7 linked regions of the Cricetulus griseus genome follow. The protein of the gene in region 1 purifies or fractionates together with the protein of each later gene. This does not show direct contact. Links are inferred from orthologs where the notes say so. Each region holds a gene or a part of one and is shown in the gene's direction. Other genes may lie near its edges.

Region 1 (3,464 bases):
AGTTCTTAAGTTCTAACATGGGAGTTTTCTTTTTCTTTTCACCAAAACATTTGTGATTCACAAGTTACTTTTAAATTGCTTGTTTTCTTTTACCAACAAACATTTTCAAACTTTTTTTTTCTCATTTCAGAACACAGATATGTAGAACTCTTCTTGAATTCTACAGCAGGAGCAAGCGGTGGTGCTTACGGTAGCCAAATGCTAGGAGGCATGGGTTTGTGTAAATATCACTTTAGTGTCTTTTTTTAAGCTAACCTTGTATGCCTTTTCTCTCATTTCAGAACACAGATATGTAGAACTCTTCTTGAATTCTACAGCAGGAGCAAGCGGTGGTGCTTATGGTAGCCAAATGATGGGAGGCATGGGCTTGTGTAAATATCGTTAGTTTTTTTAAAAACCAAAACATTTATATCTGTATAAGTAGTTAATAAGCTAAGTTAATATTATAATTAGCATAAGAGTTTGTTACCATAATAATTTTAAGCTACAATAAAAATATTAAGTTAGCAAACAAATTCAGGCAAAGTAAATTTTGTAATTACTATATTAAATTACTAAAATCTTGTAAATAACATAAACCTGCTTAGGATAGCTTACTTAAAGTAGATACAAGTACTTTTGTTTGGGGGAGGGGACTATTGATTGTGTTATAGTATCTGTCTATAAAGTGTAAGTTTAAAATACTTAACAAACATAAGGTTTAAAATTTTTATTTGGTAACATAATTACTTGGGCATAATTAACTAGGTGTTCATTGATACCTGTATAATATCTAAATATATATCAAGCTAAGGGGGAAACCCCACTAAAGTTTCATAAGATGATCAAAAAATGCCTCTACTTAGTGAATCATGTGTACTTAGTCCTCAACCCTTTGGTTTATAAACACTGAGCTAGCTAAAATGATGAATATAAAGGTTAATATGGTCATAGACAGTCTTGTCATAGACAGTAGGCAGGAGACAGTAATTTAAGATCAAGACTGGAAAATCGTAGACATAGAATTACAAGCCCGGTACCACCAGGTACCACATTGGATAAGGAGCAAAGCTCTAATGTTCTCTTAACTTAACAGCAAACCAGTCCAGTTACGGTGGCCCAGCCAGCCAGCAACTGAGTGGTGGTTATGGAGGTGGCTACGGTGGCCAGAGCAGCATGAGTGGATATGGTAAGTTTTTTTTTATATACCTAGAGTAAGTTTTAGGTTGGTTTGTCTAGTTGGGCTCCTTTTGAAAAGAGGAGGGGTATTAATATGGTTTTTATTACAATTCTTATTAGTATAATTTACAGAAAGTCATTGGGAGGAGGGGGATGTATCCTAGTAATTGCAATTTTGGAATATTGTCAAGGCAGAAAACATCTCTGTTCGTTTATTAAAATAATTAGCTTGCTTTTCTGTTGTAGCATTAAATTTTTTGGAGGGTAATTTTTAAATATTAGGCTGGTGGTTGGGTTCAGGACAGTATTTTACTAGTCGGTTAACCTAGGGATGGTTTTATTTATTTTTTTTTCAATTGGTCTAAAGAATGGTGATTTTGGTATTATAGTCTTACCCTACAAAATCCTTTTGCAGACCAAGTTTTACAGGAAAACTCCAGTGATTTTCAATCAAACATTGCATAGGTAAATATTTTCTCAAAAAATAATTTAAATTCCCAATAGCAAAGACTGATAATGTTGTGATAACACTTTTCTATAGCAGTCAGTGACTCTGACTTAACTCCCTGGAGGCTGCCATTTTGGGCACAGTGAGTTGCCTTTAGTCCAACTTTTGTCCTCTCACTTCTTGCCCACCATGAATAGGCAAAGCAAAAGACTTCCCCTGTGTTCCCTATTCATACACATCATTCGATGAACACATAGTACATGTTTATGGTAAATTTTTAAATGCTTTGTTTAGCTTTAAAAACTTGGAAGTAATTTTGCAATTTTTGAAAAACACTAGTTTTCCTTTAAACTTAAAATTTCCACGTTGATCCTGAAGAATCCACTTAAAATGGTAGCACAAGAGTCTGGCAAGTTGGTACTGCAGAGAAAAGGGTTTAATTGAAATTTGTTTGGAGTCGGGATTCCCTTTTCCCAACATGCTTCTCGCCAATTGGACAGCAGCCATTTGCACTCGTATACCTTTTAAACTTTTTCTTGGAATGTTATTTTATTTGATTGGTTATTTGACACTATTCCTAACTTGTCAAACTGATCTCTTTGCAGGTAGCCAAGGAGCAGTGAACAGCAGCTACTACAATAGCGGAAGCCGTGCATCTATGGGCGTGAATGGAATGGGAGGGATGTCTAGCATGTCCAGTATGAGTGGTGGATGGGGAATGTAATTGATTTTGATTGATCACTGACTCTTGGTCATTTTTTTTTTTAATGGAAAAAAAAAAACCTTCAGTTTAACAGTTTTGCAATCCAGCCTTGTGATTTATGTCTACTCTCTTAAGTGAACATTGGCATCACTCAAAGGACTAAGGTTCAATGTTGAATATAGTCACCTAGGATGATGATACAGTGAACTATAACTGTTAAACAATTCCCAGCTTTTCTCTAGTTACTGTAGGATGTGTGTAAGCAGTAAGCGTATTTAGGTTAAAGCAGTTGAATTATGTTAAATGTTGCTCTTATACATACATTACATTGAACACTGTTGATGCATGTTGAAAAGACATGCTTTTTTGTAAAACTCTATAGGAGCTGCGTCTACAATTAAAAGTGAAACATTTGGCATGTTTGTTCTAATTTCATTTGATAAACCTGTAAGGCACGTGAGTTTAAAGCTTTTCTCTTTTTTTTTAAGTTGATGGAGAAATTTTGAGACGCAATACCATTACTTTAGGATTTTTGGTCTTGGTGTTTGTATGAAATTCTGAGGCCTTGATTTAAGTCTTTCATTGTATTGTGATTTCCTTTTAGGTGTATTGCGCTAAGTGAACCTTGTCAAATAAATCTTCCTTTTAAAAGCTACACCTTGTCGTATCTGTGCTTCAGTGTCATGTGATCTTTCTTTGGTGCTTTATTCCTACCTGGGGTCATATTCCATGTCTCTGACTATGATAGAAAGGCTGGGCTACATAGAGAAACTGTGTGTGTTTTGAGACAGGGTCTCTAACTGCCCTGGTTGTCCTGGAACTCCATAGACCAGGCTGGCCTCAACTCAGATCCTCCTGCTCTGCCTCCCTGGTGCTGGGATTAAAGGTGTATATCAACACCACCCTGGGAGAAAAACCTCGAAAAATAAAAACAGAACCAAACAGAAAACCCAATAACTTGGAGACAAGGTCTTACTGTGTAGCCTTGGCTGGTAGAAGTAAAAATTCCTACAAGTAGCCTCTGAACTTCATTTGTAAGATGGTATATCCATATAGACAACAAAAATGAACCTTAAAAAAGTTTAATGCTGGACATGGTGGCACATGCCTTTAATCCAAGCACTAGGAAGGCAGAGCACTAGGTAGGAAAGAGAT
Region 2 (4,141 bases), on another chromosome or scaffold:
TCTGGAACTCACTTTATAGACAGGCTGGCCTTGAACTCACAGACCCTCTGTCTTCCAAGTGCTAGGATTAAAAGTGAGTGCCACTACTGCCAGGCTTCTAAGCTTCTTTTGAGCCATCTCTCTAGCCCCCCGAACAGGGTTTAAAATTGTACAGTTCTGTAGGTAGGGAAGTCCAACGTTGTTGGGCACAAGGGGTAATGGCTTTTTTGCAATGTCACCCTATGGTGGGAGTGCAAAAGATGCTGAGAAAATCAGAGTCAGACATCAAACTCAAAGCCTGAAGCCCTTCCATAGTTAGCATTAGCCCATTGAGGGTGGAGTCCTAGTGCCTGACACACCTCCCACTAAAGGCCACACCCCTCACCACTGTCACAGAGGCCATCAAGTCCGCCACACCTGCATTTTTGCAGAAGCACTTTAAAAAACGCGGGGTAGATGAACAGTAATTACATTTTGGTTTATCGGCTTTGAGAAACTTGATCTCCAGGTACATTTGGAAGCAAATCTCTTGACCCTCACTGAGGTGGCAGTTGGGGTAGGACCGGAGTGACAGGTGAGAGAGAGGTTTATGAATAAGAAGAATTAGTCTCTTTGGGGGAATGACTGACTACTTTGCCCCCTGCATGGCTTTCAGTCATAGATCCAGTGCCCTACCTACTCTGTGCTCCAAACTCCGGAGTTCCTGACTTCTGTTAACATGGCTCTTGAGTCAGGTCCACTTTATCCACTTTATTCTGTGTGGAAAGGAGCCAGGGAGGGGAACAAGTTTTCCCGATCGTTCCAAGGGATGCTTTTCTACCGAAAAATCTCCAGCCAAACGAGTCAAATCATCCTTCAGCTGTGTTTTGACCGGAGCCAAGACGACGTAGCGCGGAGCCCAGCGCGTGGCGAAGGGTGTGTTTGGGACCTGCCAGCCAGGCGTGAGGGAGGGTTCGAGATAAGCAACTCCCGCGCCGGGTGGCAGCGAGCGCCATTGCCGAGCGTGGCCGCTCGCACCCGAGGGGGGCGGGGCTCCGGAGGCGGCCACGCGGCGCGAGGCCTAGATTTTCCAGCCTCGTAACCGTGGAAGACGAAGAGGGAGGAGCTTCGGCCACGCACGGCCTGCAGCCCCGCAGCCTCGCCACTACCAGGGGCTCCCACCAACAGACCCCTTTGTGTGCATGCCCCCGCCCCGGAGGCGCCTCAGCCAGTGGCGCTGAGAACCCTCATTGGCTCAGCCCGACGGCCACACCGATTGGCTCGCGGAGCCACCGGCATGGGGGCCGCTTTCCCTCTCTCTGATTGGTCCGCCGAGCTGTCTATCAGACAGCCTCAGGAGCCGATTGCTCGGCCGCACGGAGTCCCTGGAAGCAGTTCCGGGAGACCCCGCGTGCTGCCGGGATCGCGTCTCTGTGCTTGAAGGGGGGGAGGGGGTGGCGCGCGCGCCATTTCTGGTCGTTTTCAAAGCGCCTCGCGCTGATTCTCACGGGCCAGGCCGCCGGCCCCCCGCTCTGCCCTGGTGAGTCTCGCGCTGGCCCGTGGGGGGAGGGGCCGGGAGTCCCGGTCTGACCGGACTCGGCCCGGCCCACGCTCGGCGCCCGGGTCTGCAGTTTGGGTCTTGGCTCCGAGGCCCGAGGGTGGGGGTGGGGATGGGCCGGGGGCGGCTTCTGCTCGGGCCGGCCGCGCAGCCGCGGGCCTGAGTCCTGCCGCGGCGCCTCCTCCCTCGCTCATCATCCTCAGCCCCTCCGGCGCCCGGTCCCTCGGTCCGCCGTCCTCCCCGCGGCCTGCCGGTCTCGCGGCGCTTTTCCCGCCTCCGCCCGCCGGTGGCGGCGGCCGGGCCGGGCGAAGGGTTCCAGGCGTCCCCCCGGCCCCGGCGCTTCCCCCTAGGCCTGCGGTCAGGCCTGGCTCGCACATCGCCGGCCGGCGCGGGTGGGATGTGTTGATAACCGGGTCGCGCCCGAGGGGGTGGGGTGAGCCGAGGGCGGGGTGCAAATCCCAGGGTTACCTGAGCCGGGAGCAAACTTTGTGGGAGTCGGAGCCGAGGGGCCGAGGTATGGGGGGGTGCCTCCCACCCGATCCTCATCCTGCATGCTTGGAGCCGAGATTTGAAGGAAAAAATGACTACTTCAGGCCGTGACACTTGGTCGAGCGGCGCCTGAGCTAGGTAATTCGGAGAATGTCACAGGCGCTCCACATTGGAAAAGCTCTTTTTCTTAACACCGTAGTAACCATGTGGCCAGAATTTCAAGACGAAAGCCCAGGGGTTCTTGAAAGGTTCAATCCTTTCTTGTTACCTGTTTGAGATTTTTTTCCCCCCACCTGCCCTTCAATGGCAGAATGCATGTGTCAGGGAATCTCAGTCGTAGTGATTAAGGGCTTGGCACCACCGAGCTTTGAGATAACGGTTAGCTTTCGTTAGTTCTTTTAAAGCCCTTCTTAAAATTTTGCTTTAGAGATGCTGGCCCAAAGTCAGGGAGGATCTAGTACTGACTTCCCAAGTCTCCCAGTGGCCCTTATATATTTTATTTAAATGGCTTTATTTTGTAATTTTCTTTCTTTTTTTTTTTTTTTTTTGCAAAAAAAAAAAAAGTTCAGGTCAAAGGATTCCAGATACGTTAGTATATTTGCTGCATCCAGAAATATGGTTTGGCTGAGTGGCATTGTGTTGAATTGACATGAGTTTTAAATGGTCTCATAACATAAAAGTCTTTTAAAGGAGCACTTTGTATTCGGCTTGAAGAGGTGTTATGTTTTGTTTTGCCTTGTTCTGAAGGTTTTATTTTCTGGAATCTATTTTACCTTTTTTTTTTGTTAAAGTTGACAAGATGGAAATTGTAAAACAATTTCAATATTGATGATAGTCATAAGTATCTGTCTTGTGCTTAATACATAACTTGTCATTTTGCTTCACGCATACTTTTAAGAAAACACTTCACCTTAACAGATGTTCATTGAACTCCTTTAATTTGCCTCTCCTGTAACATAGTAGTCACAGGTGTAGTGCTGTAAGGTCTTGTGGTAGAATTTTTCAGTTTTGGTGATCTTACTGTAGTGGTTGGGAGGGGATGGGAAAACACAACTATATGTTCACAAAAAGATTGGGGAATTTAGAATGCTGCTTTATAGTACTAGGTTGTATTAATCAGTAAATATGCTCATCTTATGTGCTAATAGTTTCTTGTGCCAGTTTTGGATGTTTCCATTTTTTGCTAGCTCATCAGAATCTGACCTTTGCCCATTCAGACTTAACTACAGTCCGCGTCTCTAGAGACATTAGAGGGCTAGGGAGAGTTTTGTGATGATGGGAAGTCATGCTGTTTAGGTCATTTTCAGAGTAACACTGTTCACATTTTCCTTTCTACTGTTGCCTCCCTGTCCTCTGTCTTTCTCCTCTCGTTAACTTCTACTAAATATCAGTGGATGTTCAAATGAAGAGCTGTTTTATGTCAGGAAACAGCACCTGGTGCATTTGCATAGTGTTTGATGAGTAATCTGGAAGTGATTGGTTATTTTAGGCTCTAGTGCTTTTAGGTGAGTTGTATTTTCTTAGCTGGCTATCTTGAGTTTCTCTAAGAAAAGCAGGCATTTTCTTGAGACCCACCTTCATCATGCCTTTATTTCAGTATGTGCCTCAGTATCTTTATTGTGCCACCAGTTATTCTTCATCGCATTATAATTTCACCACAAACACACACTTTAATTCCCTGACTTTGAGGTAGTATAGACTGGCCTTGTATGCTTTTGTGATTTACTGTCTCTTCAGGGAATTGGTCCATTTCAGCATTATATACAGGCTGAACATACAAAATGATTTTGGTAGGTTAATCTGAGAAATATGACTGAAGTTTATGCCAATTAGATAGTGTTTGTAAAGTTTTTTGGAAGTTTTCCATTCTTCAGTATTTTTTGCAACTTTTTTTCACTGACAAGAAAAATTCAATTCATACTCCTGATTTTTTTTAAGCATGAAGCAACCTCAACTATAGCTCACTTATTTTTATGTAAACTTTAAACAATGGCTTAGCTTTTAAAGTTGGTCATTTTTTCTTTTAAATCTGTGAATGGGAATAGCAAATTAATCATAGCACAAAACTAATGTGAAAGTTGTGTTTTTTTAAGTGAGTTGGAGAGAACCCAAGCCACCAGCTCGTTGAACTGGATA
Region 3 (4,239 bases), on another chromosome or scaffold:
TTTCACTTCTGTCTTTTGCATTAGGGAAGACCTAAACCTCAAGGACCACTAATCAAGGCCACCACCTCTCCAGACCACAGCCCAACACATGGTGGACTCTCATCCTCCAGGAGACAGGGCACACACCTACCCGCAGGCCTGTCATCTCACCTCCTCCCAGCTGACCTGCCCTCCCCCAGGCCTTTGCTGAGACCACCTCCACGTCTTCCTATCCTTTTCTACCTAACCAAAAGCAAAGACAGGGGAGGGAGAAGATGGTGGCGCGAGGAAAAGCACCCCCCGCCGCCTCACTCTTCCCCATTCCAGAGACGCAAAGCCACACCACCTCTCCTTGAGCCCATAGGCAAAACCCGCAACACTGAAAGATTTCTTTTTCAGATGCTTTTAGACACAAATAACTTCCCCGCTCCCTTCCGCCCCTCACCTTCACGAAAGCAATCGGGGTTGTGGTACCTTCGATATCTAACAGGATAACTGTGACTTCGGCGGGCACCGAAACCACGACCATTTCCCTGCCGGATGCTACCACGGGCTCGGCCGCGCTGGTAAAGAGGACAACACAGCCTGTGCCCCCAGGACGCCTCGGGCTCCCGAAGCCCAGCAACAATCTGAGAACTGGCAGCAGCGAGCGGCCAGAGAGGTGGGCACAGGCCGGCTCGGGGTACCCGCGACTGCAGAGGAAGCCGCCCAAGACGCTGCACCCAAAGACCAGGCGAGCGGCGCAGGCCCAGACCACGTGGGCAGAGGGGGCGGTGCTCTGGGTTCCGAGGGGGGCGGGGAAAGCAGGGAGCGCGCTCCTATTGGTCACCGGCGAGCCGCGAACCCGATCCGTCAAAATGGGCCTCGCGTGGGCGGGAACAAAGAAGCGAACACCAGAGCCCGGATCCCGGAGCGCGGGCGCCAGTCCTCCGCAGCCTGGAGGAGGGAGCCGGCGCGAGCGGCCCGGGCCACGTGCAGACGGGAGCCCCGTGAGTGGCGCGCCGGGGACGTGAGTGCCCCTTGCCTTCTCCGGCACCCGACCCCCTTCCCCGCCCACCGCGTGCGCTTTGGCACAGCTTCAGTCCTCCGAGCAGGCCCCGCCCTCCGCCGCGGCCTCAGCCAGCCCGGGAGGCCGGCCGCACGCATCGGGCTGCGGCGATCCTGCAGCCGAGCCCCCCCCCCCCGCCCCCCGAGCAGACAGCGCCCCGAGGCGACGGCGGAAAAGCCGCAGTCCCCGCCAGAACAGAGAGGGTCGTCGCTTTGCGTCCGCTTTCTGGTTCGGCTGGCTTCAGCCCGCGCAAGGACAGAGCACGCGTGCGCCGGGCGAGCTTGCGGGCGCGCTGCAGCATCAGCAAGCAGCCCCGGGTGCACGCCGCCTTCTTCCCGGAGCAGCCAGGCGGTCATAGCCGCCACCGCCGCAGCTCCGCATTGGGGGACTGAGGGCGCGGCGGACTGGACGCGGTGACACAAAAGGCTCTCAAGGCAAGAGGGACTGTGGCCCTGCTACGGCGCCGTCGGGATTGCCTGCGCTTCGGTCCTGCGCGTCTGACTTCTCCTGCTCTCTCAGGCCGACCCCCAGCGCGACCTCGCTCCTCGCCCGGAGCACCGCGATGGAGGTCCCGCCCCGGCTTTCCCATGTGCAGCCGCAGCCGCCGCCATTGTTCCCCTCCGCTCCCGCTACTTTAGCCTCCCGTAGCCTCTCCCATTGGCGACCACGGGCTCCCCGGCAGCTCGCCCCGCTCCTCCCTTCGCTCGCTTCCAGCTCCTCCCGGCAGGGGGCGCGCCGGACCCAGCGCCACGTCACCGCCCAGCAGCCCTCCCGATTGGCGGGCGGGGCGGCTATAAAGGGAGGGCGCAGGCGGCGGCCGGATCTCTTCCGCCGCCATTTTAAATCCGGCTCCATACAACGCTCCGCCGCCGCCACCGCCGCCGCCGGGACCCGCACTGCGCGCCAGCACCCCCTCGCCGACGGCTCCGCCAGCATGGAGGACATGAACGAGTACAGCAACATAGAGGAGTTCGCAGAGGGATCCAAGATCAACGCGAGCAAGAACCAGCAGGATGACGGGTACCGCACGCTCCGCTCCTCCCCTCCCCCAGAGCCCCGCGCGCGCCCCGCGCCCCCTCCGGAGCTGCGCGCGCTGCCCCCACTCTTTCCCCGAGCCGATTCTCCGCGTGCCCGCTGGACCCCAGTAGCTTCCCCACTAGTGGAAAGTAAGATGGGGGGGTGACTCGAGAGGCCCGCCGCGGGTGGGGGAAGGGAGGAGGGGTTGGGGAAGGAAGGCGGCGCCGTCGGTGTCCCGAGTGCGCAGGCGCCGCGGGGGGGAGGGGCCGGGCTCGGTGCGCCACATGCTGCAGCTGCCGCCGCCTCTTCATTGTGTGTCTTGTGTTGTTATTGTTGCTGTTGCTGGGGCGACTTTTTCCGGGGGACGTTTGGGAAACTTGGTTTGGGCACCAGTAGCCGGCTGGTACCAAGAGTTCCGTAGGTAGCAAGTTGACTTGAGAGCTATGGATGAAAGTTCACTTAAGTTGTCGGGGAGGGAGGGGGCGGATTCGGTGTTCAAGTTGTGTTTTTGCAAACCAAAGTAGTCGGAGCCGAATCTCTACCAGACTTCGTTGGCCTTTTATAAAGTTTTGTGTTTGCACTGTAGACAGCAACCTGTCTGCTGGTTTGTTTGAGCAAGTTTTTGTTTGAGCTGGTTTTTGTGGTCTGTTAGTGTTTGTAATCAAAGCGGATTGCATGCACCTACTGTATTGTTTAATTACAGGGTTGAAGTAATCACTAAGTTACTGTTAAGTCTCTTTTTTTTTTAAATGACTTTATTTCTAGTAAAATGTTTATTGGAGGCTTGAGCTGGGATACAAGCAAGAAAGATCTGACTGAGTATTTGTCTCGATTTGGGGAAGTTGTAGACTGCACAATTAAGACAGATCCAGTCACTGGAAGATCAAGAGGATTTGGATTTGTGCTTTTCAAAGATGCTGCTAGTGTGGATAAGGTATGGGTGTGTTTTGCACTGTGCTTTTGTGTTGCTTGCAAATTGCTATAGGCTTCTAAGTTCCTGTCTAACTTGTCTTCTAGGTTTTGGAACTGAAGGAACACAAACTGGATGGCAAATTGATAGACCCCAAAAGGGCCAAAGCTTTAAAGGGAAAAGAACCCCCTAAAAAGGTTTTTGTGGGTGGATTGAGTCCAGACACTTCAGAAGAACAAATTAAGGAATACTTTGGAGCCTTTGGAGAGGTGGGCTGTGTTTGTATAAATGTGTTTTTGAAATGCTCAAGTTTGTGTAGGGTTCATTAGTATTTCACAAGATGGGCCTGAATTACTTCTTGGGTGCCTTATGGTTTTGCATCTTAATTGCTACTTTCTGTGCCATGGTGGAAACCAGTATCTAATCTGGTCTAGCCAAAGCCCAAGGGATTAAAGTGGTGCAAGTTTTACCAACTGGTGGCCTCTCTGGGGTAGAAGACACTGTAAAAGAATATAACTCGACTTTTTAGACAGTAGTGGTCTGTAGAGTGTGTTTGTGAAGTCTGTACACTTGCACTAATGGGTGGTTTTGTTTGTTTTGAATGCACCTGGTTGCAGATAGAGAATATTGAGCTCCCCATGGATACAAAAACAAATGAAAGAAGAGGATTCTGTTTTATCACATACACAGACGAAGAGCCAGTAAAGAAATTATTAGAAAGCAGATACCATCAAATAGGTTCTGGGAAGGTAAATAGATTGAATTCCATTAAGAGAAGTGTGTATGTGGAAACCCTGTTTGAAAAGAAAGCCACTTTTGTGTTCAGAGCTTAGAACATGCAAAAATTCTGTTTGTTTTTAGTGTGAAATCAAAGTTGCACAACCCAAAGAGGTATACAGGCAGCAACAGCAACAACAAAAAGGTGGCAGAGGTGGAGCGGCTGGTGGAAGAGGTGGTACGAGGGGACGTGGAAGAGGTGAGACTTGACGGGGAAATAGTGGTTTTTAAACTGTAACAGTAAGCTGCTAGGTAAAATGGCCCATAGGAGAACACAGCTAGATGGAAACTTAAAAATGACCCCACATGGTAAAGGCTGGTTCGTGGGGAGGTTTTTGTTTTGTTTTTAGTAAGTACAGTGTAGGGGACAAGAATGAATCATTTTGTGTTAGGATCGGGAAAGTCCAAAGTGGTTTCCTAACAATCATTGTGCATTGTTTCAGGTCAGGGCCAAAACTGGAACCAAGGATTTAATAACTATTATGATCAAGGATATGGAAATTATAAT
Region 4 (3,500 bases), on another chromosome or scaffold:
ACTTTCATAATGCTGTAACCCTTAATATAGTTCCTCATGTTGTGTTGACCCCTCCCCAATAACATTTTTGTTTCTACTTCATCACTGTAATTTTGCTGCTGTTTTGCTTATCTGATAATGTGATCCCTGTGGAGGTTGAAACCCATCTAGATTAACTTTTCTTGGCTGGGCGGTGGTTGCCCACGCCGTTAATCCCAACACTTGGGAGGCAGAGGCAGGCAGATCAGGTTGGTCTATAAGGCCTCCAAAGGCCACAGAGAAACCCTGTCTCTGGAAACCCCACTACCCCCAAAAAAACATTTATTCCCCAAATATCCTCTTATTCCCTTCTCAGTCTATCATTTTAATTAATTGCATGGCAACAAGGGTTTCACTTTGGTTTTCCAAACAAAAAAATAACTTTGTGGTTTTTTTTACTTAAACTTACAGTTCAGAAATACCACACTATTAATGGGCATAATTGTGAAGTGAAAAAGGCCCTTTCTAAACAAGAGATGCAGTCTGCTGGATCACAGAGAGGTAAGTAGGATCATATGCACATAAATAATAGACATGAACAGTAGTTGAAAGATTTTGAAGTTTTTACTTCAACATGTGTTACAGGTCGTGGAGGTGGATCTGGCAACTTTATGGGTCGTGGTGGAAACTTTGGAGGTGGTGGAGGTAATTTTGGTCGTGGTGGAAACTTTGGTGGAAGAGGTAAGGTGCTTGTTTTTAGTATAATGCATCATAAATTTAGTAGTCAGTTGAAGGTATCATTTTAATTCAAACTTTGATTTTCCTCAGGAGGCTATGGTGGTGGAGGTGGTGGCAGCAGAGGTAGTTATGGAGGTGGTGATGGTGGATATAATGGATTTGGAGGTGATGGTGAGTATTTAAAGACTGAGTTTTGTCTTTTAATTTCTGCATTGCCAGGAATCCACATAGCCTTTTGCTAGTTAGAAAACTTAAACATAGATATGATAGCGTTTTAACTGTTTTAAAAGTGTCATACCTTCCAGTCCTAAAACTTTGAATGGATTGAAGTATAGTTCATAACTAGAACCACAGAAGAGGAAGCCTCTTCCCAAGGATGGAAGTAAATATTAACTTGTTATCTTCTGGCAATAAGTTTTATTTGTATCAGCAGTTGAGCTAAAATTGCTTTGTGTAAGGCTATATTGTCATGAGTGAAAATAAAAACTGACTTGTTTGAAAGAACAAAAACACTCATCTTAAGTTTTACCCATCAAGATTGCTTGGCTCTGACTAGATTTGGAATGTTAAATCTGTTCAGTGGTTCATTGCCAGTGATGGTGTAGTATTTGGCCTTCCCTGAACATTTGTTTCTGTGTCGCTTTCTTTTCAGGTGGCAACTATGGTGGTGGTCCTGGTTACAGTAGTAGAGGAGGCTATGGTGGTGGTGGACCAGGATATGGAAACCAAGGTGGTGGATATGGTGGTGGTGGAGGAGGATATGATGGTTACAATGAAGGAGGAAATTTTGGTGGAGGTAAGTTAACAGATGTTTGAAGTAAATACAAATTAGCATTTAAATTAGTTCTCTGCAGTGCTTGGAAATGTTTAAAGGATACACTGGCAAAGTTTTAAGTGTTAAATAGCTATATTAAAACACATCTCATCCATGTAAACTTACCATGTCCATTTTTAAGTTGTGGAAAAATGGGCACTGCATACATTTCACAACTAGAAAACAATTTTTAAGGTATGTATACAGGGAGATCTTGAGTTCTAGATCACTGTGTCTTAATCCCAGCACTCAGGAGTCAGAGGCAAGTGGAGCCTGGCCTACAAACCTAGTTCTAGGACAGCCTCCAAAGAGAAACTATCTTGAAAAACAAAAACAAAAAACCCAAAGCCAAAATAAAATAAAGGTTTCAGTGTAGGATTCAATGCTGTTAAGGCATATTTACAGGTTGTTTTTTTGTTTGTTTTTGTTTTGGAGACAGGGTTTCTCTGTGTCTTTGGAGGCTGTCCTGGAACTAGTTCCTGTAGACCAGGCTGGTCTCGAACTCACAGAGATCCACCTGCCTCCTGAGTGCTGGGATTAAGGCATGCACCACCAACGCCCCGCTTTTTTCTTTTTTCTTTTTTTTTTATATTTACAGTATTTTACAAACCTCATCACTATTCCAGAAATATTTTCATCATTCCAAATAGGACTTTATTATAGCCCAGGTAGCTTAAAATATGTATTAGACTCTGGCTTTGAACCTTCTTGGATCCATTTCCCAACCACACCAGCAAATTTGATTTTTAAAAATGTTTCTGCAGTGTTAAAATGTGTATTGTAAATTGGTAAAAAGGATACTTACTAATTATAATTAGTAAATTACAAAGGAAGTTTTTAAAATGTGGTTTGTTGCTGGGTTTTTCCTTAACTCTTGGATACTTTGAAACTTGGTAAATGGGATGTGTAAGTTGTTTGAATAGGGTAGTATATCAGTTCATGGAATGCTTTGAGTGTTACTGTATTATGTATCATGCTACATACTATAGCATGGGTTATGCACAATTATTAAGGTAATATGATCTTTGTTAGGGAACTGTTGAACCTAACTCATAAATGTGCTTTTTGATGGTCTAAATTATGTGGTAGGAGTGTGTATGTAGGATATAATGGCAAAGGAAAAAAAATAGATGTTCCTCAGGCTGAAGTGTGGAAATATAGTCTTCTTGATTGATGTGTTTCACTTACTATGCCCTTTTTTTTTTTTTTTTTTTTTTTGGATTTGTTTATTAAATCACTTGGGCTTATGGTAATGGAGTTTAGTACCTAAGGTCAATGTTAAATCCTTGCATTAAAATAATTATAATACTTGGCTTCCATGAGTTGAAATAAAGGGGTAAATAATTATTTTGGAAAACTATAAATAAATATCTTTGTGATTTCAGGTAACTATGGTGGTGGTGGGAACTATAATGACTTTGGAAATTATAGTGGACAACAGCAATCAAATTATGGACCCATGAAAGGGGGCAGTTTTGGTGGAAGAAGCTCAGGCAGTCCCTATGGTGGTAAGTTCTTTTTAATCAGAATTCTTAAGAGCATTCTTGGTTAATATTTTAGGTGTATTTAGAACTGTATTGTTATTTTTCAGGTGGCTATGGATCTGGTGGTGGAAGTGGTGGATATGGTAGCAGAAGGTTTTAAAAATACAGCAGAAAAGGGTAGGTATCTTAAATTTTTTTTAAATGATAAAAGAATATATGGAACTTGACTGAGTGTAATAATTTTTTTATCCTGTATTATTCAACAGGCTACAGTTCTTAGCAGGAGAGAGAGCGAGGAGTTGTCAGGAAAGCTGCAGGTTACTTTGAGACAGTCGTCCTAAATGCATTAGAGGAACTGTAAAATCTGCCACAGGAGGAACGATGATCCATAGTCAGAAAAGAAAAGTTACTGCAGCTTAAACAGGAAACCCTTCTTGTTCAGGACTGTCATAGCCACAGTTTGCAAAAAGTGCAGCTATTGATTAATGCAATGTAGTGTCAATTAG
Region 5 (2,739 bases), on another chromosome or scaffold:
CAAGGTGTCTGATACCCTCGATCAGTCAGATAAATTCCATGCCACAAAATTAAAAGGAAGTAAAATTGCATTGATTTAGATACAGGTTTTGAGGAGGACATGCAGTTGATTTTATAATCCTACATTATTGAAATCCTGGGCCAGGGAGATAGCTGATTTGGTAAAGACACTTGCAGAGCAAGACAGACATCCTGTCTACCTCTAGAACACACTTAAAAGGGCAATTGCAGTGGTTTGCAGCCTAACAGGGCAGAAGTCCAGAAACGGCTTACAAATGTGTATACAGATCAATTTTCAATAAGATAATATAAAACTAGAATGGGGTGGTCATTCGAGACGGGGTATAACCCTGGCTGTCCTGGAACTAGCTTGCAGACCAGACTGGCCTCGAACTCACAGAGCTCCACCTATCTTTAAAGAACTGCTAAATATGGGTTTATGCTCGCTTTGTTTAGATAACAAAAGGAAAATGGATGAGACAGATGCTTCCTCGGCCGTGAAAGTGAAAAGAGCAGTTCAGAAAACATCTGATCTAATAGTGTTGGGTCTCCCTTGGAAAACAACAGAACAAGATCTTAAAGACTATTTCAGTACTTTTGGAGAGGTTCTTATGGTTCAGGTAAACTTGATTCTGGGTAACAGCTTTCCTTTTGTTTATTCTGTATATATGGGTCATAACAGTATCGATCCTTATTAGGAAGTAACACCAAAAATTTTATGATTGGAGAGTCACCATAACAGTGGGAACTGTATTAAAGGGTGAAAACAATAGGAAAGTTGAAAATTACTGGTTTAAAGGAACTAGGTCATATTAGAACTATTATATTTGTGCTCATTGTAAAACATTGTTAAGTTCTGTCGTGAGTCATTCATTCCCTGTTAATGATGCAATTCCCTATTGATTCTTGCCTTGGACTAACGTTATTAAACATTAAACTTTAATGTGCTTTTTCGTTCAGTTGAAGCCATTCAAGTTTCTATGTGAACTCTGATTTGGTATATATGTGGTATTAGAGTAAATTTCTTTTCTTAGGTCAAGAAAGATCTTAAAACTGGTCATTCAAAGGGGTTTGGCTTTGTTCGATTTACGGAATATGAAACCCAAGTGAAAGTGATGTCACAGCGACATATGATAGATGGGCGATGGTGTGACTGTAAACTCCCCAATTCTAAGGTATTTTGCTCTTTTCCTGTATGCTTGGGTGATTTTTTTTCTTTTAAAAGACCTTAAATTAAGTGCATTTGGAAACATTGACGGCAGGAAAAGTTTTCCAAGGCAGGTGTCTCTGTAGCCTTGGATGGCCTCAAACTCGGTATCCACCTACCTGCCTCTGCTTTCCAGGTGCTGAGATTAAAGGTGTGGGCTACTACCACTCAGCTTAATCTTAGGGAGTTTTGTTTTTTCTTCTGAGTTTTCGAGACAGGGTTTCTCTATAGCTTTGGAGGCTGTCCTGGAACTCACTCTGTAGACCAGGCTGGAACTCAGAGAGATGTGAGTACCCTGATTAAACCTAGTAGTGTCGAGTGCTTGACCACTGAGCCTATAACCCCAGCCCAAACTTACGCCAAACAAGCAAATGAGACTTTAATTATTTGGAACATTTCTTTTGGGGTCAAAGTATACTTTGTTTTTCGGGACAGGATTTCTCTGTATTGCTTTGGAGGTTGTCCTGGAACTTGCTCAGTAGGCCAGGGTGGCCTCAAACTCAACAGTGATCCGCCTGCCTCTGTCTCCTGAGTGCTAGGATTAAAGGTGTGTGCTACCAATGCCTGGCGGGAACACACATCTTTATTTTGAGACAGGGTTCTCTGCATGGTCCTAGCTATCACTCTGTACACCAGACTGGCCTCAAGCTCAACACAGATCAGCCTGCCTCTGCCTTCTACGTGCTGGGGTCCTGTGTTTAACAGCTAGGTGTGGTAAGATATACTTGTAATCCCACCCCTGGAGGCGGGAGGCAGGCTAATTCATGGAGTTTGCCTGGCTACCAGTCTAGTTAGCCAAATACGAGTTCAGTGAGACCCAGCCTCATAAGGAAGGTGGAGAATGACTAAGAAAGATGGCTAGCATCAACCTCTATCGCAAATGTGACATAATGGTCTCTTGGTATTACATTCCTGTAATTCTAGCACATGGGAGGTAGTAACAGGATCAGGAGTTCCAGATTGTCCTCACATATCAAGCTTAAGGCCATCCTTAAAACGGGAGAGCCTGTTTTAGAAATCCGAAGGAAATGAGGAAGAAAAGTTAATTAGTAATTGTTTTTGGAGAAGGACTGGTTCAGTTTTCAGCACCCATATGGCAACACACAACACTATAATTCCGAGTGACCCAATCCCTTCTTCAGACCTTTAAGGGCACCAGACATGTACTTGGTTCAAGATTACAAGGGCCCACACCTTTTAATCTCAGTACTCAGGCACAGGCCATCCAGAGATAGACAGTGAGACCTTGTCTCAAAAAGCAAAGGGAGGGGGGCAGTGACAGTATGCCTTTATGTATTTTTTTTCTACTCTTCCTTTTGACCAGCAAAGCCCAGATGAGCCTTTGAGAAGCAGAAAGGTGTTTGTTGGGCGTTGTACAGAAGACATGACTGCTGAAGAGCTTCAGCAGTTCTTCTGCCAGTATGGAGAAGTGGTAGATGTCTTCATTCCCAAACCATTCAGGGCTTTTGCCTTTGTTACCTTTGCAGATGATAAGGTATTTTTCTTCTTCATTTGTATCGGGGCTGGGAATTT
Region 6 (4,082 bases), about 55 Mb from region 1:
AAGATAGTTGTAAATGATAATCTGAAGTTGCCTGAATCTGACCTAGGTGGCTCCAAATTCCCAATAGTTTTATGCAATTATCTTGTGTAAGTTAAGATCTCTTGGTGCCCAAACAAGTGATTAATTGAGGCTATTAGAAACTGGAATAACGACCACACCAACACTAATGCAATTGTTTTCTTTTTATTGTATTTGCTGTATAAGGAGGTAAATATGAGGAAAACACAAACACAGAGCTAGCTCTGAACTAGCACATTAATACTGCTCAAGTTCTCCATTTTTTAAAAAACGGTTCTTGCCCTCCCCTATATAGTGCAAGACCAAGTTTAAGGGTTTCAGCAATAATCCGAAAGCTTGAAACACCTGTATCCTAAAATGATTGGTTATTAAAGGCAAGGCACTTTAGAACCAAGCCATGACAACCATTTTGTATGCTGTCCTGGGGAGGAGGCAAGGCGTCCTAGACAACCGAATCAATTGGCTTTTCAAAGGCAGTATTAGACAAAGCCGTTTACTCTAGAGGACATCAAAAGCTCTTATGAGTGCGATGCCTCAAAAAAAAAAAAAAATCAATACAGAAGAACATTCCGCCTTAGTCCCTACAAAGCAAAAGAGGAGACACAGCCTGTGTCTAATGTCCCAGAGAAGGGTCCTTTACTGCTCTGTAAAGACAGGATGCGGGTGTCCCAGCCTCGCCAGCGAACCGAACCCCTCGGCCACATCCCAATTGTCCGTTCCACGACTAGACCCTAAATTCAGAGGCGCCCGCCCACTCCCCCGCGATGGCCACTACTGTGCGACAGTCACGAGCCTCTCCAGAAGCCCAGACACGGTTCGGGTCGGCCCGCGGCCAGCTGGATGCCGCAGGGCGCAAACACTAGGGCTCCAGGCCGAGACTCACCAGCCTCTGAGCTGGCCATACTGCCAAGAAAGGTCGCGGCCGGACTCCGAGACGAGAGCGAGCGAGCGAGGGAGCGAGCGCTGGCGACGGTGTCCTGCAAGGGCCGGGCCGGGCCGGGCGGGGCGGGGGGGCCGAGCCGGGGAGGAGGGGGTAGGAACCAGAGAGCCGGGAAGGAGGGCTGGAAGAGGGCGGGACGTTAAAACGGCTTCTCGCCGCTGATTGGTCATCGGAGAAGCACTTCCTTTCGCGGCACGCGCTTCGGCGGCGGTTTGCGGGCTCTAGATACCATTCCCCGCGGGCCCGATCCCGCTTGAGGGCTCTCAGCTCGGCCGGCCAGGCAGCCGGGTCACCCAGCAGCCCGGCCGCTCTCCCCGGGGCCTCGGAGCCGCGCTTCCGGTGAGTCTGCGGGAAGGTATTCCTCCGCCGAGGCCAAGCGGAGAAGTAGTGCGGCCCGCCTAGCCCTGAGGTGCAACCACGTGACAACGGCAGGCTCCACCTCCCCGGCTTCTTCGGTCATGGGCGTGGGGGAGCCTGTGGAGACGTAAACATCTTCTTCAGGTGGAGACGACGGGCTGGCTGGCTGGTGCGGGCCATTGTAATGGCCGGCTGGCCGCGGGGAAGCCACACGAGTGCGGGGCGAGGCGCCCTAGCGGTGTCACCCCGCCGGGAAGGGGGTCATAAACGGGCGCCTGTGAGGGAGCGCCCGCGGGGGGAGGGGCGCGGACATGGCGGATTCCCGAACGCCAGCGGGCGTTGAGGCCTCCCGCCGGGGGGAGGGGGGTGGGGCGATGAGGTCATAGAGCGGCTCCCAGCATCCTCTGCGGCGAGGAGGCGGTCCAGACTATAAAAGCGGCCGCCGGGACGCAGCCGGCACCTCATTCATTTCCCTCGGCCCTCGGGTTTACAGCTCCGGCTTCGTCACCGCCCGTCCCTCCGCCGGTGACGCCCCCGCAAAGGCTTCGCCGTCGCCGAGGCCTCCTCTCAGCGACTCGTCGCGACTGGGTTGTCCTTCACTGGGTCTTTCCCGCTCACCGCAACCATTGACGCCATGTCGAGTTACTCCAGCGACCGAGACCGCGGCCGGGATCGAGGGTGAGTGTGACAAGGGACCTGTCAGGCTAGCGGGTGGGGGATGGGCAGCCGGCCGAGCGAGCGAGCGGGCGGGCGGGCGGCGCTCGGGTTTCCAACCGACCGACCCTGGGGTTTTCAGGAAGGAGGCCTTGAGGGTTTTTATTTTTGTTGTTGTTATCCCAGCTGATTAAAAGACGTTAGGGGCGGCGCTCCCAGGAGTTGGGCTCCGCCTGGCTTTTTTTTTGGTTTGGGAGGCTCGGGTCCCGTGGCGACCCCGCGGCTGTCGCGGGGATCTCCGAGGAGGGTTGTAGTGTAGGACGAGGAAGCGCCGCGCCTTTGAGGCGGCTCCGAGGCGTTGTTCGGTGCAACCTTCCGGCGGGTGTTTTGGGGGCCCCCGGTGTTACCGGGGAGCGGAGGGGTCGCTTTCGAGGCCATCCGTGCCGTGGAGGGTGGCCGACGTCGGCGGGTTGAGCCATGTGGCCGAGCGGCGGCCACAAAATGCCGGCCTCGGACATGGCGGCGGCGCCTTTGTTACCCCGCCCGGCAGAGGCGCTCAAAATGGCAGCGTCGAGAAAATGTGGCGCAGAGAGAAATGCGAGACAAAGAAGGAAGCGCCGCCCCAGCGGGAACGCAGCCCGGCCCGGGACTCCTCCCCCGGTTGTCGCCGGCTCCTCCTCTTTTTTTTTTTTTTTCCTTCCCCTCGCGTTATGTAATTTTGCTACCTTGATTAGCTGCGGTTCGCGGCGAGTTCGCCCCTTGCTGCCCTACCCGCAACACCTTCCTCGTTCACCTGCCCACATCGCCTGCTCGGCGCCGTTTTCTTTAAGAATCAGTTCCTTTGGTCGGAAACAGTGGCAAAAATAACCTTGTTAAGCTCCTCCCTTCTTGCCCAGCTCCTAATTCCTAAGCCCTGTGGGGAGGGTATATGGAGCCTCAGGCTGTTATCTGTCCTTGTAATCTGAACTTCAGATGTTTGGGCAGCCGACCTGGTAAATCCAAGCTGCTTGTTTGGCATCAATAGTGTGTGCTTGGGACTATAGTAAAAATATATTGTGCCAGTTGTTGCTGTCTAGAATTGACAATTGGGAGGGATTCCAGAAATGCACTTTGGCTTTATATCAAAAGACATTAAATAAAATGTGAGTGCAAACATAACAGAACTTTTTTACAATGTGGCTTCCCCCCCCCTGTAGATTTGGTGCACCAAGATTCGGAGGGAGCAGAACAGGACCCCTCTCTGGAAAGAAGTTTGGAAATCCTGGGGAGAAACTAGTTAAAAAGAAGTGGAATCTGGATGAGCTGCCCAAATTTGAGAAGAATTTTTATCAGGAACACCCTGATTTGGCAAGACGCACCGCAGTGAGTGATTTAATGTGGCTTTTACTGGCTAACAGCTTCTACTCAATTGGATTGAAGCTGACAGGTGCCTTGCAAATGTCTCGAATTCAAATTATTATTTGTGGTGTGGTTTCCAAATGTGTCCATTGAATCTAGTGTAAAAATTATTTGAGCCAGGCGCTGGTGGAGCACGCCTTTAATCCCAGTAATCGGGAGATAGAGGCAGGCTCAAACAATACAGAGAAGCCCTGTCTCGAAGCACCAGAGGGTAAAAAAAAAAAAAATGTGTATTGGCCAGGTGTTATGGCACTAGTCTTTAATTCCCATCACTGGGGAGACAGGCAAGCCAATCAGCCTATTTGGGCTACATAGTGAGACTTTTTGGTTTTCGAGACAGGGTTTCTCTGTGTAGCTTTAGAGCCTATCTTGGCACTCGATCTAGAGACCAGACTGGCCTCAAACTCAGAGATCTGCCTGCCTCTGTCTCCCGAGTGCTAGGATTAAAGGTGTGCACCACTAAGGCCCTGCCCTAGGTGAGTGTTTTAAGTACATAAAAATTGCTGCTGAGCTGTAGGGGACTTGTCAGTGCAGTTGGCTGAGGTTTGAGACTGGGGTCATTTGTTTTTCAGCAAGAGGTAGATACATACAGAAGAAGCAAGGAAATTACAGTTCGGGGTCACAACTGTCCAAAGCCTGTTCTGAATTTTTATGAAGCAAACTTCCCTGGTAAGGACTAATTTTCATCTCAATTCTTTTCATTTGTTCCCTCTTC
Region 7 (4,125 bases), on another chromosome or scaffold:
ATTAAATGTTTTCCTTTAAGAATTTTCAAAAACTAAAGCCTCCCTCCCTAAGTTCTTCAAAATATCAAGTGAAGGGATCTAAAAGAGCAAGAAAAATGCCAAACTAGAGGGGAACAAGAAAACATGCTTTCGTTAAGGTGATGTAGGGAATGATTGCCTCCACTATAGGAGTCATTGTAGATAAAATATGCACCCCTACAATTCCCTCTGAAGGCAAGATGCCTCTCTTTCAAGGAATCTCTCCATTTACTTGATCCAGGTTTGGTCCATGGATTTAACCTCCCGACTCCCGCGCTCCCCACTGGAGTCCAGCCTCTGCCGCTTGGAGAAGGCCGGCCTATCGCGCGCTTGGAGCTCATTGGCTCTGAGAGACGCCACTCGGGCGGGAAAAGCCCGCCTCCCGCATTCGGATGGCCCAAGGGCCGATCCGTAGGCAGCTATAGGAAGACCCAATTGGCCTATACACTCGTCAGTCAAACGCTCTGGTAGCGCAGCCCAAAAGGACCTGGCAGAATTAAAACATCCCGCCCCCGTTCTCCCATTGGCTGGCCCGACCCATCGCGGCCCCTTCACTGTCGCTCCCCCAAGTCCAGCGGGGCCCATTCATTTCGTACAATAACGAGTCCAATTGGAGCGGGTCCAGGAACTCCCACGGTTAGTCAAGACTCTGCCACTTACCCGGGATCTACAGTGACCACTCACACTAAGGCCTGCGCGGTTCCTCTGTGGTAAAGCTGCACCACAAGCCACCCGCTACCGCCGCCTTCTGCGCAACGCCAGCCGCCCGCCAAAACGGATCCTTTCCCTGCGCCTGCGCAACCAATCCTGGGCCCAGACCTTTTCTCCGCCCAAAACGCCTGCGCAAAGCAGGACGCAGCTCCCGCCAGTACGCAGGCGCCTTAGGTTCACCGCCCTCTCCCGCCCGCCGCCCGCCATTTCACGTGTTCAGTAGGCGAGCGGAACTCCTTAGTGCGCCGGCGTAAACTCGCCATTTTTATTACACATGCGCTCTCCGGGCAGTGGCTGCAAAAGTGGTAGCGAACTACTTTTCCTAACGTGTCGTGTTTTGCCAAGTGAGGTTATAATGTTCGGACGCTGGGAAGTTATGCAAGGCGTTTAAAGACATGGGTACATTCAAATATAAACCACTGGTTAGCTAGTCAATCAACCTGGTTAAAAAAAAAATCCCCCAGAGCGTCGATGACTCCGAAGGGCGGAGACTGCGTAGAACGCCCCAGCAGATGCCATCTCTTAGCAGGGCGGATCCACAGACCTAGAGTGGGCGGGAACAATTCCAGATCTCCAATCAGAGTAAGGCCAGGGCGGAGTCTACCAATGCCGAAAGCGAGGAGGCGGGATAAAAAGGCGAGCCGAAGGTAGGCTGGCGGATACGTTCGTTGACTTACTCCTTTCTGCCTGTTGACGCGGCGGAGGAAGCATCGCTGAAGGCTCTCGTTTCCCTGCCGTCATGTCTAAGTCGGAGGTGAGTTGTGCGCGCTCTGCGGCTTCGTTTCCTTCCATACGCAATGAACAGGACGGGATGCGACCTATTTTTCTGGCTGGCACCCATGCTTTCGGTGTTTGATCGGTCGTTGCCGAGGCCTGCTCACAAAGTGCAGGTCGCCATTTTGTCCTCGTAGTCGCCATGAGGCTGCCGTCCGCTAACCGCTAGTTTCCACACTCGGCTCCTAGTGGCAGAATTCACAGATATGCGACCTTGGGGGTTGTGGCTCTTTTTATTTTCTTTCTTGGCTTTGCCTAACTAACGTCTGCTAAGGCTTCAGTAAGTTTTAATGGCGATTGACCAGTCCAGCCCGTGTCTTTTGTTGCGCGTGCGTATAGAGTAGGGACGCATGCGCTGCATGCTAGTCCTCCCCCCCACGCCCCAACAGCACCTCCTGGCCCAGAGAGGAGCACGTGGTCTTGTGCTGTAATAAAGAACAATAAAAAAGTGCGGCCTATGTTGATGCGTGGAGTTGATCCATTCGCTCAAGTTCCAGCCCCTTAGCTAACGGCTCTCCTTTGATCCGATTCAGTCACCCAAGGAGCCGGAACAGCTGCGGAAGCTCTTCATTGGAGGGCTGAGCTTCGAAACAACCGACGAGAGTCTGAGAAGCCATTTTGAGCAATGGGGAACACTCACCGACTGTGTGGTAAGATTAGAAGGAACAAAAGGCGGGGCTGGTTTAATTTTATTGCTTTAATCATGCCGCACTTCTTACCCAGATGCTTTGTGAAGGTAATTAATGGTATAATTTTAAAAGGATCTTTGTTTGGGGGCCTTATGCTTGAGTCTAAATGGAGTTTTATGCTGGACATGTTCAGAGTTGGAATGGCCTCAGGTCCTGATATCAGGCAATATGTTGATTGAATTAACTCTATAAACAGGTAATGAGAGATCCAAATACGAAGCGATCCAGGGGCTTTGGTTTTGTCACGTACGCTACTGTGGAAGAAGTAGATGCCGCTATGAATGCAAGGCCACACAAGGTGGATGGCAGAGTTGTGGAACCTAAGAGAGCTGTTTCAAGAGAAGTGAGTGTTATTATGCTAATAGTTGGGTTCTCTTTTATCTAGACGCCAGATAGACCCCTAGAGTGCTGGGATTAAAGGCGTGGGCCACCACAGCTGCCAATCATTTGAAATGTACTAATAATGACTGCATCATTTTCCTTTTAGGATTCTCAAAGACCAGGGGCCCACTTAACTGTGAAAAAGATCTTTGTTGGTGGTATTAAAGAGGACACTGAAGAACATCACCTTCGTGATTATTTTGAGCAGTATGGGAAGATTGAAGTGATTGAAATCATGACGGACAGAGGCAGTGGGAAAAAAAGAGGGTTTGCTTTTGTCACCTTTGATGACCATGACTCTGTGGACAAGATTGTTAGTAAGTGTCAGATAATTAGATTTCTCTCCTCCTCCTCCCTCCCCCACAAACTGGGAATATTCTGTAGCTTTGGGTCCTTTCCTGGAAATGAGACCCGCCCTCAAACTCAGATGGCCTGTCTCTGCCTCCTGAATGCTGGGATTTATGGGGTGTTCCACCCCCCAGCCAGATTACATTTTTCTTTTGGGTGGATTCGAGACAGGGTTTCTCTGGCTTTAAAGGCTGTCCTGGAACTAGCTCATGTAGACCAGGCTGGTCTGAAGCTCAGAGATCTGCCTGCCTCTGCCTCCTGAGTGCTGGGATTAAAGGCGTGGGCCACCAACACCCATCGTGCTCAGATTTCTTAATGACTGGGACTCAGTGTGTTTAAAGCCCTAAAGTTAACTTTTTTTTTTTAAGTTCAGAAATACCATACTGTGAATGGCCACAACTGTGAAGTGAGAAAAGCCCTGTCAAAGCAAGAGATGGCCAGTGCTTCATCCAGCCAAAGAGGTATCTCTTGCTTAGTTAGAACTTGCAGAGGGTAGTTGGGTTGTTGCTGCAAGTTGGTCTAATGTAATGATCCAAACATCTCTTAAGGTCGAAGTGGTTCCGGAAACTTTGGTGGTGGTCGTGGAGGTGGTTTTGGCGGCAATGACAACTTTGGTCGAGGGGGAAACTTCAGTGGTCGAGGTGTGTACCTTTTGGATTTCTTAATTGCTTTTGGAACGATGGATAACTGCTAGTCTTTGTTTATAGCATTTAGATTTTACCCAAAACATAAGTTTTCGTTACACAGAGATTAGCATTTGCTTCATTCATATACCTAAAGCTCTGGTTTCTTACAGGTGGCTTCGGTGGTAGCCGTGGTGGTGGTGGATATGGTGGCAGTGGGGATGGCTATAATGGATTTGGTAATGACGGTAAGTTTCTTAAGGAATCCGTAAGTAAAATTTCTAGCAACCTATACCTTTAGACTAGGCTAGTAGACACTAAACCTAGTGCATGACAAAATCAACCAGCCCCGTAATACGCATGCTGTGAGCAGGCCATTAGTCATTACACTTGCATAGATTTTTATTGTTAAATACTTTTGTCTTATTGAGAAGGCTTGTATTCTTGTAGGTGGTTATGGAGGAGGCGGCCCTGGTTACTCTGGAGGAAGCAGAGGCTATGGAAGTGGTGGACAGGGTTATGGAAACCAGGGCAGTGGCTATGGCGGGAGTGGCAGCTATGACAGCTATAACAACGGAGGA

What was found.
Region 2: the proteins of Hnrnph1 (region 1) and Hnrnpr fractionate together in Homo sapiens (co-fractionation; 3 studies listed by BioGRID and IntAct, with this or other methods). This does not show direct contact. The link is inferred for Cricetulus griseus from reciprocal best matches to the Homo sapiens genes HNRNPH1 and HNRNPR.
Region 3: the proteins of Hnrnph1 (region 1) and Hnrnpdl fractionate together in Homo sapiens (co-fractionation; 3 studies listed by BioGRID and IntAct, with this or other methods). This does not show direct contact. The link is inferred for Cricetulus griseus from reciprocal best matches to the Homo sapiens genes HNRNPH1 and HNRNPDL.
Region 4: the proteins of Hnrnph1 (region 1) and Hnrnpa3 fractionate together in Homo sapiens (co-fractionation; 3 studies listed by BioGRID and IntAct, with this or other methods). This does not show direct contact. The link is inferred for Cricetulus griseus from reciprocal best matches to the Homo sapiens genes HNRNPH1 and HNRNPA3.
Region 5: the proteins of Hnrnph1 (region 1) and Tardbp purify together in Homo sapiens (affinity purification with western blotting; 3 studies listed by BioGRID and IntAct, with this or other methods). This does not show direct contact. The link is inferred for Cricetulus griseus from reciprocal best matches to the Homo sapiens genes HNRNPH1 and TARDBP.
Region 6: the proteins of Hnrnph1 (region 1) and Ddx5 purify together in Homo sapiens (affinity purification with mass spectrometry; 4 studies listed by BioGRID and IntAct, with this or other methods). This does not show direct contact. The link is inferred for Cricetulus griseus from reciprocal best matches to the Homo sapiens genes HNRNPH1 and DDX5.
Region 7: the proteins of Hnrnph1 (region 1) and Hnrnpa1 purify together in Homo sapiens (affinity purification with mass spectrometry; 7 studies listed by BioGRID and IntAct, with this or other methods). This does not show direct contact. The link is inferred for Cricetulus griseus from reciprocal best matches to the Homo sapiens genes HNRNPH1 and HNRNPA1.

What each region holds. Positions count from the first base shown.
Region 1 is NC_048600.1:64,841,096-64,844,559, forward strand, and holds the end of Hnrnph1 (heterogeneous nuclear ribonucleoprotein H), read left to right. Parts: intron 1-130; coding exon 131-190; coding exon of another isoform or gene 191-220; intron 221-281; coding exon 282-371; intron 372-1,075; coding exon 1,076-1,168; intron 1,169-1,573; coding exon of another isoform or gene 1,574-1,623; intron 1,624-2,211; coding exon 2,212-2,330; 3' UTR 2,331-2,964; downstream 2,965-3,464. UniProt on the Homo sapiens protein: This protein is a component of the heterogeneous nuclear ribonucleoprotein (hnRNP) complexes which provide the substrate for the processing events that pre-mRNAs undergo before becoming functional, translatable mRNAs in the cytoplasm.
Region 2 is NC_048595.1:16,990,615-16,994,755, reverse strand, and holds the start of Hnrnpr (heterogeneous nuclear ribonucleoprotein R), read left to right. Parts: upstream 1-1,341; 5' UTR 1,342-1,498; intron 1,499-2,018; exon of another isoform or gene 2,019-2,143; intron 2,144-4,141. UniProt on the Homo sapiens protein: Component of ribonucleosomes, which are complexes of at least 20 other different heterogeneous nuclear ribonucleoproteins (hnRNP). hnRNP play an important role in processing of precursor mRNA in the nucleus.
Region 3 is NW_023276807.1:162,144,690-162,148,928, reverse strand, and holds the start of Hnrnpdl (heterogeneous nuclear ribonucleoprotein D-like), read left to right. Parts: upstream 1-1,439; 5' UTR 1,440-1,589; coding exon 1,590-2,047; intron 2,048-2,809; coding exon 2,810-2,978; intron 2,979-3,061; coding exon 3,062-3,223; intron 3,224-3,571; coding exon 3,572-3,703; intron 3,704-3,815; coding exon 3,816-3,930; intron 3,931-4,174; coding exon 4,175-4,239. Other genes in the region: Enoph1 (enolase-phosphatase E1), read right to left, coding at 454-508. UniProt on the Homo sapiens protein: Acts as a transcriptional regulator. Promotes transcription repression. Promotes transcription activation in differentiated myotubes. Binds to double- and single-stranded DNA sequences. Binds to the transcription suppressor CATR sequence of the COX5B promoter.
Region 4 is NC_048599.1:99,406,211-99,409,710, reverse strand, and holds part of Hnrnpa3 (heterogeneous nuclear ribonucleoprotein A3), read left to right. Parts: intron 1-429; coding exon 430-519; intron 520-603; coding exon 604-699; intron 700-786; coding exon 787-867; intron 868-1,348; coding exon 1,349-1,492; intron 1,493-2,895; coding exon 2,896-3,018; intron 3,019-3,101; coding exon 3,102-3,154; 3' UTR 3,155-3,171; intron 3,172-3,260; exon of another isoform or gene 3,261-3,500. UniProt on the Homo sapiens protein: Plays a role in cytoplasmic trafficking of RNA. Binds to the cis-acting response element, A2RE. May be involved in pre-mRNA splicing.
Region 5 is NC_048595.1:7,784,997-7,787,735, forward strand, and holds part of Tardbp (TAR DNA-binding protein 43), read left to right. Parts: intron 1-455; coding exon 456-619; intron 620-1,033; coding exon 1,034-1,174; intron 1,175-2,530; coding exon 2,531-2,701; intron 2,702-2,739. UniProt on the Homo sapiens protein: RNA-binding protein that is involved in various steps of RNA biogenesis and processing.
Region 6 is NC_048600.1:119,732,270-119,736,351, reverse strand, and holds the start of Ddx5 (probable ATP-dependent RNA helicase DDX5), read left to right. Parts: upstream 1-1,282; 5' UTR 1,283-1,297; intron 1,298-1,443; exon of another isoform or gene 1,444-1,459; intron 1,460-1,765; exon of another isoform or gene 1,766-1,808; 5' UTR 1,809-1,949; coding exon 1,950-1,993; intron 1,994-3,165; coding exon 3,166-3,331; intron 3,332-3,939; coding exon 3,940-4,036; intron 4,037-4,082. Other genes in the region: Cep95 (centrosomal protein of 95 kDa), read right to left, coding at 902-920. UniProt on the Homo sapiens protein: Involved in the alternative regulation of pre-mRNA splicing; its RNA helicase activity is necessary for increasing tau exon 10 inclusion and occurs in a RBM4-dependent manner. Binds to the tau pre-mRNA in the stem-loop region downstream of exon 10.
Region 7 is NC_048595.1:399,611,796-399,615,920, forward strand, and holds the start of Hnrnpa1 (heterogeneous nuclear ribonucleoprotein A1), read left to right. Parts: upstream 1-1,325; 5' UTR 1,326-1,468; coding exon 1,469-1,483; intron 1,484-2,036; coding exon 2,037-2,153; intron 2,154-2,388; coding exon 2,389-2,535; intron 2,536-2,679; coding exon 2,680-2,890; intron 2,891-3,289; coding exon 3,290-3,382; intron 3,383-3,469; coding exon 3,470-3,562; intron 3,563-3,717; coding exon 3,718-3,792; intron 3,793-3,994; coding exon 3,995-4,125. UniProt on the Homo sapiens protein: Involved in the packaging of pre-mRNA into hnRNP particles, transport of poly(A) mRNA from the nucleus to the cytoplasm and modulation of splice site selection.